Ovis aries: one gene and its partner. The protein of the gene in region 2 binds, or shares a complex with, the protein of the main gene of each other region. Links are inferred from orthologs where the notes say so. Each region holds a gene or a part of one and is shown on either strand. Other genes may lie near its edges.

Evidence for each region.
Region 1: the proteins of JAML (region 2) and CXADR are in contact, whole or in part, in a crystal structure (PDB 3MJ7), measured with the Mus musculus proteins. The link is inferred for Ovis aries from reciprocal best matches to the Homo sapiens genes JAML and CXADR. Residues at the interface, in NP_001005421.3 of Mus musculus: Arg57, Asp59, Ala69, Tyr72, Phe75, Tyr77, Leu80, Val82, Glu120, Arg122, Ser127, Met128, Val129, Met130, Lys131; in NP_001020363.1 of Mus musculus: Thr23, Gly51, Pro52, Asp54, Glu56, Leu58, Ser60, Gln65, Ile66, Val67, Asp68, Gln69, Val70, Leu73, Tyr83, Lys121, Lys123, Lys124, Ala125, Pro126, Gly127, Val128, Asn130.

The regions. Positions count from the first base shown.
Region 1 is NC_056054.1:140,291,050-140,294,867, forward strand, and holds part of CXADR (coxsackievirus and adenovirus receptor), read right to left. Parts: intron 275-3,818; coding exon 70-274; intron 1-69. UniProt on the Homo sapiens protein: Component of the epithelial apical junction complex that may function as a homophilic cell adhesion molecule and is essential for tight junction integrity.
Region 2 is NC_056068.1:28,633,009-28,636,826, reverse strand, and holds part of JAML (junctional adhesion molecule-like), read left to right. Parts: intron 1-492; coding exon 493-730; exon of another isoform or gene 731-1,589; intron 1,590-3,818. UniProt on the Homo sapiens protein: Transmembrane protein of the plasma membrane of leukocytes that control their migration and activation through interaction with CXADR, a plasma membrane receptor found on adjacent epithelial and endothelial cells.

The DNA of each region.
Region 1 (3,818 bases), on a different chromosome or scaffold from region 2:
AAGTTTTGTCTCACGTAAATGCTGCTACTACAGTACTGTGATCCCTTACCCTGTTAATAAGTAACTTACCAAGAACTGTCAGCTGAATCTTCTTATTTCCAACACCAGGAGCTTTTTTCACTTTGCACTGATATGTGCCAATATCGGACAACTGTAAATTTGTCACATTTATTGAAGCGTCACCAGATTTGAGATCATTACTTGTAAAATGTACTCGTCCTTTCAGATCTTGATAGTAGTCATCATAAATTTTGTCTCCGGAATATAAAATAATCTGATAGAAAGCCAAAATAAGACAATGAGAAAACAAGCAAGCAAGTGAACTCCCTGTCTTGTTAAAGGAGTTCTAGATACACCACAGTACTGTAAGGATCCAAAAAAACAAAAAAAGAACACAATATTCTGAGGAATCTACAACTATTCAAACCACAGGTTAAGAAAATGGAAGGAGGATGTGAGGGCGACCTGTTTGCAACATCTGTCAGCCCACTGATCACCGGGGCTGATTCAGCTGATCTGGCTGGCTAGATTAGCCCCTCCCTCCCTCACCACTCCAGGAGCGCCCCTCCAGGAGCGCCCCTCCTGAAGCTGCACACACGGTGGGAGATGAAGACCATCCCCGATAGAGGAGGATCGGTCTTCAGTCAAGGGTTTAACGAGTAGCTGTGCTCTCCTACTAGAATCTCCAAACGAGCTCTCAAGAAAACAGAAAGAGGCCAATATGATCCTTAAGTATTTTAACACACGGTCATTACAGATGGGGAAACCAAGACCCGACATGATTAAATAATACAGTCCTCTATGCGAGCCATACGGTGAGACCCACAAGAGCGTGGATTTGTGAATTCTTATGCACTCTGTTTTTCAGCTGCCTCAGAGAAAGAAGTATGCCAATCAACTGTATACAATCAGGTTATCAACCACCACCACTACTCCCCAAAGAGGGCTTATGATAATTTACCTGTGGAACTTAAGAACAGTAACAACAACAAAGACATTTTTTTATCTTAATATACTAAGCTAGGGGCACTTGAAGGTTCCAGACTACAACAGATAAAATCATAAACCTGTTAAGATGTGTCTGCCCAACCTGGTTAACAGGACCTTCCAATAAATTTTCAGAGACTAAAAGCAAAGACCCTTCACGACTGAACTGAACTGAAAATTAATTTAAATACTTCATACATTTTATTCACTCATGAAGTCCTTCATTCTGGCCCATCTGAGACCCAAGGGCCAAAGAGCAATAGTACCAAACTTAAATAATAATCAGAAAACTACAGCATACATCCTGCAGACCATTCATCTGGTACGTTCAGTAAGATCGGAATCGGCACTATGTGTAGGAATTTCTCCAGAGCACAGACTTGGGTTTTCTTTCATCTCCTCCTCTACCATGTTGCCCCCGCTCCTAATTCACTAAAGATCTTTTGCTTACATATTAAGAGTCAGCACTGAGGAAGCACTCAATATCAGCTTGCTAAGTAAATAAAAGCAGTTGAAGGGTCCACAGCTGACTTGCTCTGTAAACATAAGCCATCACTTTATTTGCTCCATCTCTGCCCACATCCACCTGTCAACAGCAGTACTGAGAGCTCCTTAAATGTATCTTCCTCTGTATTATCCCATGGACTCTCTTGTTGTGAAAAGCCAGGAAGTTCAACCCATGATACTTTGAACCCCTCATTTTTACACATACACACACGCCTTTCTAGGAGGCCCTAGTCGTCAGTCCCTAAGTCGTGTCTGACTCTTTGTGAACCCGTGAACCACAGCCTGCCAGCATCCTCTGTCCGTGGGATTTCTCAGTCAAGAATATTGGAGCGGATTGCCATCTCCTTCTCCAGGGGATCTTTCTGATCCAGGGATCGAACTGGAGTCTCCTGCATTGGCAGGCGGATTCTTTACCACTGAGCCACGTGGAAGCCCAGCCTTTCAAGGAGGGCCTGACAAATATGTCTTCACGGTCAGTCATTTTTGTAAACTAACGTGGTCATGTTCTCATGAAAACAATTTTACAAACAGTAGCTAAGAAATGGAGAAGTAACATGTACCAGGCAATTTTGATTCCTCTTTACAGCCCAATGGGGATGGAGGCACGATCCACATTTAACGTTTTAACCGTGCGGAAGGCAGTGGCTGCCACAGACCAACTCTCTCAATACCGCTGCGATGGAAACCACATCCATCCGGTCTGGCATTGCAGGCTGCCTACATGAACATTTCTGTATGACTTGTAGACTCAGAAAACACTAAACCATACAGTATTTTCAGAAAATTCTTATCACAACCCTGAGAAGCAAGTGTACCTGCTCTTAGTTTACATATGAGGAAACAGAGGCTTATGAAATATGGGAGGCAGTACATGATACTGTATAAGATAATCCAGACGGGTCAACACCTCCCACGGGGGGTGGGAGGAGTAGTCGGGAAAGATCTGGGCTCAAAACCCCTGCTGTGTTTGTTGCCAGCTACGTGACCCTGGGCATGTTCCTTCAAATTCCTGGGCCCTCCTTTTCCTCCTCCTCGAATGTATAATGATCTTCATTCTGGGGTGTTGTTTTAAAACTTAAGTAAGTATATATAATTAAAGTATATAAAACCCTGTCCAGGGTTTATAAAGCATATAAAGCTCAGCACACGGTAAGTGAATGAGTACATCATAACTGCTGATTAAAGAGATCATGCAGGGAATGAGGAGGGAAATTTCTCCAGCCCAGGCCCCCATCACACTACCTGCTAGCTTAAAAATATTACAAGAAGGATTTAGCAAGCATTATAATACAGTTGTAATTCTATGCACACATCCTCCTATGCATCAATCTCTCCCTAACTCTTCTTTCTTTTGGCCTTATTTACTGTGCTTTAGGTTAGAGGCTAGGTGTCTTAACCCAGAAATGGACACTTCAGCCCAGCACCCACTATCACATTTGTCTCTCAGTCCTGTGGACTGTGTGGCTTGTGACTAAGTGGCTCCCACTTAACAAAGAAGTCCTTGGATTCTCCTTCCCTGAATGGAAACACAAGGCTCCAGGACACACTGGCCTTTTTGATCTCAAGAGGCACCTTGTCACAGGGCTTCACCCCTGAGCCTTAAGCCAGGATCTGTGCTCTCCATTCTCGCATCTCAACCATGGAACCAGAGTCCTGGATTCTAAAGGAGGTAGGCACTTCACTGGCAAAGGAATGAGGGGCGTGCAGGGCTCAGGCAGAAGCCTGAGTTCAGGGTATTGGCACTGCCATGGGAAGAGGGGAGGGATGAAGAGCAAGATGGGAGGGGGACAGGGTATCCGGGCTGAGTAGACAGGAGGAGTTGGGCTCAATTTCTTTTCCTTCAGGGAGAGAAGGAAGTTCTCATATCAGAATCAGGGTAGAGATATATCCTTGGAGGGAGTGGCCCCAGCCACTTACAACTCAGGAAAGCACCTTAATTTTTTCCTTCACAAAAACAACATGGGCACACTACTTGTATTTGCCAAAAACAATTAATTACCTAACTGCACTGATTCAGCCACTAACTGCTGCCTGGATAATCCCTTTTTTTGAGATGAACCACAAGTAAAAATTTCCCTTCCAAATATATATATATATATATATATATAAAGAGAGAGAGAGAGAGAGAGAGAGAGAGAACTGTTCAGTTCAGTCACTCAGTCGTGTCCGACTCTGCGACCCCATGAATCGCAGCACCCCAGGCCTCCCTGTCCATCACCATCTCCCGGAGTTCACTGAGACTCACATCCATCGAGTCAGTGATGCCATCCAGCCATCTCATCCTCGGTCGTCCCCTTCTCCTCCTGTCCCCAATCCCTCCCAGC
Region 2 (3,818 bases):
TGCAATGTAGGGACACTGGTTTGATCCCTGGTCAGGAAACTAAGATCCCACATGCTGTGGGGCAACTAACACCCAATGCAGCCAAATAATAGTAATAATGAAGAAATATATACACAGTATGTCAGGTAATAGTAAGAGCTATGGAGAACAAGAAAGCAGGCTTTTGTGATTGTTTTTTTATGTAGGTGGTCAGGGAGGCCTCACCAAAAAGGTAACATTTGAGTAGAGGTCTCGGGGAAGTGAAGGAGGCAACCATGTGTCTGTCTAAGTGGGAAGAGTGTTCCAGGCATAGGGAGCAGCAAGTGCAAAGGCCCTGAGGCCAGCACTTAGGAGCAGCAAGGAGGCTGGTGTGGACCCGTGTGTCCGTGGCTTTGTGTTTTCTGATACTTTCTGATGATACCTTTACTGCTTCTACACGTAGGGCCTGTGAATCCCGAGAGCTCCCTCCAACCCCAGTCCTTCAGTCTCTTACATTTTGCCTTTCCCTTCTAGGAGGAGATTGTGTTGTGCTATCAGCCCAAACTCAGGGCGCCCAAAGGGTACCCCCAGAACTGGGGCCGCTTCCGGAACCGTGTGGACTTGGTGGGAGACACTTCCCGCAATGATGGCTCTATAATGCTCCACGGAGTGAAGGAGTCTGATGGAGGAAACTACACCTGCAGTATCTACCTGGGGAACCTGACCTTCAGGAAAACCACTGTGTTGCAAGTGATCCTGAAAGAGCCCCGAAGTATGTAACATCTGGCCGGGCGGGGAGGAGGGGCTGCATAGCTGGTAGGCAGGGGCAGTACTAGGGTGAAGCTGGAGAGGCTTCTAGGATGCAAAATTTAAGGAGGCATCACTCTCAGGTCCTGTACTTGCCTGCTCCTGATAAGCCTCGTACTTATCAAGCACTCCTACCCTGTGCTTGCATGACCTTGAGAGTAATCCCTCCTTAAATTTGGTCCCCTAGGCACCTTGCCTGCCTCACCCTAGTGCTTCCCTGATGGTAGGTCAAGGGAAAAAAAGGTAATAATACTGAGTGAATGCCAACCCCTCTGCCAAGCCTCACTCATGGTTTCTGTAATATACCAATTTAAAGATACAGGAGCTCAGAGATGGATTTGGGTCATTTTGACTTGGCTTCAAAGGAGATGCTCTATGCTCTGTAGTAGAAGGGAAGATGCTCCTGAGCTGGTGAGAGACAGCAAAGAACAGAGGAAACAGGAAGGGGAAGGAACCAAAAATAGAAGGAGTTTCTGATCCCAGGTTCTTTATTCTGGCAGTGTGTATTAAGGCCATTGGTGAGGAGGAGAGTAAAGACTCAATTGTGTTGACTGAGAGAGGTTGATAAGTAAGGGGTTAAAGTTAAACCGGAACCCAGTTAGCAGTCAGGATGTGGCCTGTGGACTTTGCCTTTTGCGAGGGCCCCAGGGGTTGGCTGTGGTTGGCTGGGGGCAGGGATAGGGGTGAGGAAGCACCTCTACCCTCAATACCTCTGGCCAGAGACTTAAGTCCATGGAGGCGCCTTCTTGTCAGTAACGGAGGATGCCAGCGGGAGAGGGAAGCAGGACAGATGGCTTTCTTCACTCTCAGAAGTCTTCCCTCTGCTTCACAGGAAAGAGAAGCCATTAGCGGGGGCTCATGCAACTTCTGAGCCCTCCACACCCTCAAGCAGACCTCCATCTACTCCTTCCTCGTCTTTGCCTGCCGTCCTGAGCTCCCTTCCCTCTGGGGGCTTATCTGAGCCGCTGTGCTTCTCCTCCTTCTCAGGACCCTCACAACATGCCTCTTTAAGCTCCACGGTCCATGGGCTTCTGCCATTAAGCACACGCATACACTCAACTCTTCCCCTTACCCGTGTCCTTGTCTCCTTTAGCTCTCACCCTATGTCATACCTTTTCTTTTTTCCCCTCTTTCACTTGACCTTTATTTATTTATTTATTTTAATTGGAGGATAATTACTTTGCAGTATGGTGCAAAGTACATCAACATGAATCGCACATAGGCATACACGTGTCCCTTCCCTCTTGAACTCCTCCCCACGTCCCTCCTCCCACCACCCCTCCAGGAGACACAGACATAAAGAACAGGCTTTTGGACTCAGTGGGAGGAGTCGAGAGGGTGGGATGATTGGAGAGAATAGCATTGAAAGATATACATTACCATATGTAAAATAGATAGCCAGTGTCTTACTTTTTCTTGAAACACCTTTATTGAGATACAACTCACACGCCACACAATTCACCCATTTAAAATGTACAACTCAGTGGTTTTAGTATATTCCGAGTTGTGCAACTTTCATCGAGATACATTATGCATTTCTTTCTAGACACAGTCAGATAGTTTGCTAAAGGACTGAACTCAGTGTCTTCTGTCTCATCTTGCATTAACCCCTAGTACTCTGCAGTCAGCCTTCTACTTGCACCTCTCCTCCAGTGTAGGTCACCAGTGGCACTCTAACTGTCTATCCTTGACCTTCCCCACCCCAGTAGCATTGAACACCATGTTCTGTATACGTTTAATATATTCTGTTAGACGCAACCTATCTGTCCATCCATCCATCCATCCATCCATCTCTGTATATGAACGCCACCCAGATATTCCACAAATACTCAAACACAAATAATCCAAATCTACCCCTCACACCTTTCTCCTGCCCACCTCTCCAACCTCAGTTGATGCCACTGCTATCGACATAATTATCCAACTGGATAATCGTACTGGATATTATCCAACTGGATAATCATACTGGATATTATCCAACTGAATAATTGCCTGGGAGTCGTACTTGATTTTTCCCTTTCCCAGGACCCCTAGTCTAACAAGTCAACAGGTCCTGTGATTTCTACTGCTGACTTTGGATCTGTCTTCTTTCTCATCTGGCACCATCCCCTGGCATCATTCTGCCTGTCAACCTGTCTCAGACTGTAGGCCTCTCACCAGTCTCTGCTTTCGCTTTGTCGCTACCCCTCATTCTCGGTGCGATCTTTCTCAATCACAAATCTGAACTTCCTACAGCCTTTCAATGTCTTCTGCATTGCCTACAGAAAAAAACAAAACACAAAGCAAAACGAAAAATTGAAACAAACTCCTCATTGAGATAATCAAGGTCCTTCATGACTTAGATCCTGTTATCTACCCAGCCTCATTCCCCATCACGCCCTCAAACACAACCTTAGACCCTCTTTCTAGTTTCTCTAAGCACCATCCTGAACCGAAAGGCTCCAGATGTTGAGTTTAATATCCCTACCTCCCCCACCCCAATCCTTCTCCCATTGTTGCTAAAATCTTTGATAGTTCGTTTCAGACTCAAATTTTACAACTTTTGCTGACAAAGTCTCAGGTTCTGCTCCCCATAGAACCGGGAGCCCTTTCCTCAGCGCTGCTTTGTCCCGCATGCGGACTGCTCTCACAGTACCTATAGCGTCTGTGGTGTTCCGTGCACACCCTCCCCCTCCTTGAGGGCACAGACCATGCGTCATTGGTCTTTGTATCTTCCGTGCCTAGTACTATCTGGCACCCAGGAGGTGTTTGATGTATGTGTTCGGAGTGAATTGAGGAAATGGGTGAAGGGTGCTATATAGATGGATGGAAGTGTCGTGCTTGGTATCATGACTATGGGGCTGTGTTGTAGCCTAGATACCTTTGAAAACAATCACTTCACCACAGAAAGGGCAGCAGCCTATAACATGTCTGTTTTTGGTGAACCACATTTTAAGATAGAATTGTTAATGTAAACGGAAACTCTGCTGTACGTCAGGTGATATTCTGTTTACCTACCCACCTTCATCTATATTTTAAGGGTAAAAAGGGGTGGGCAAAGGCTGGTTCTCAAT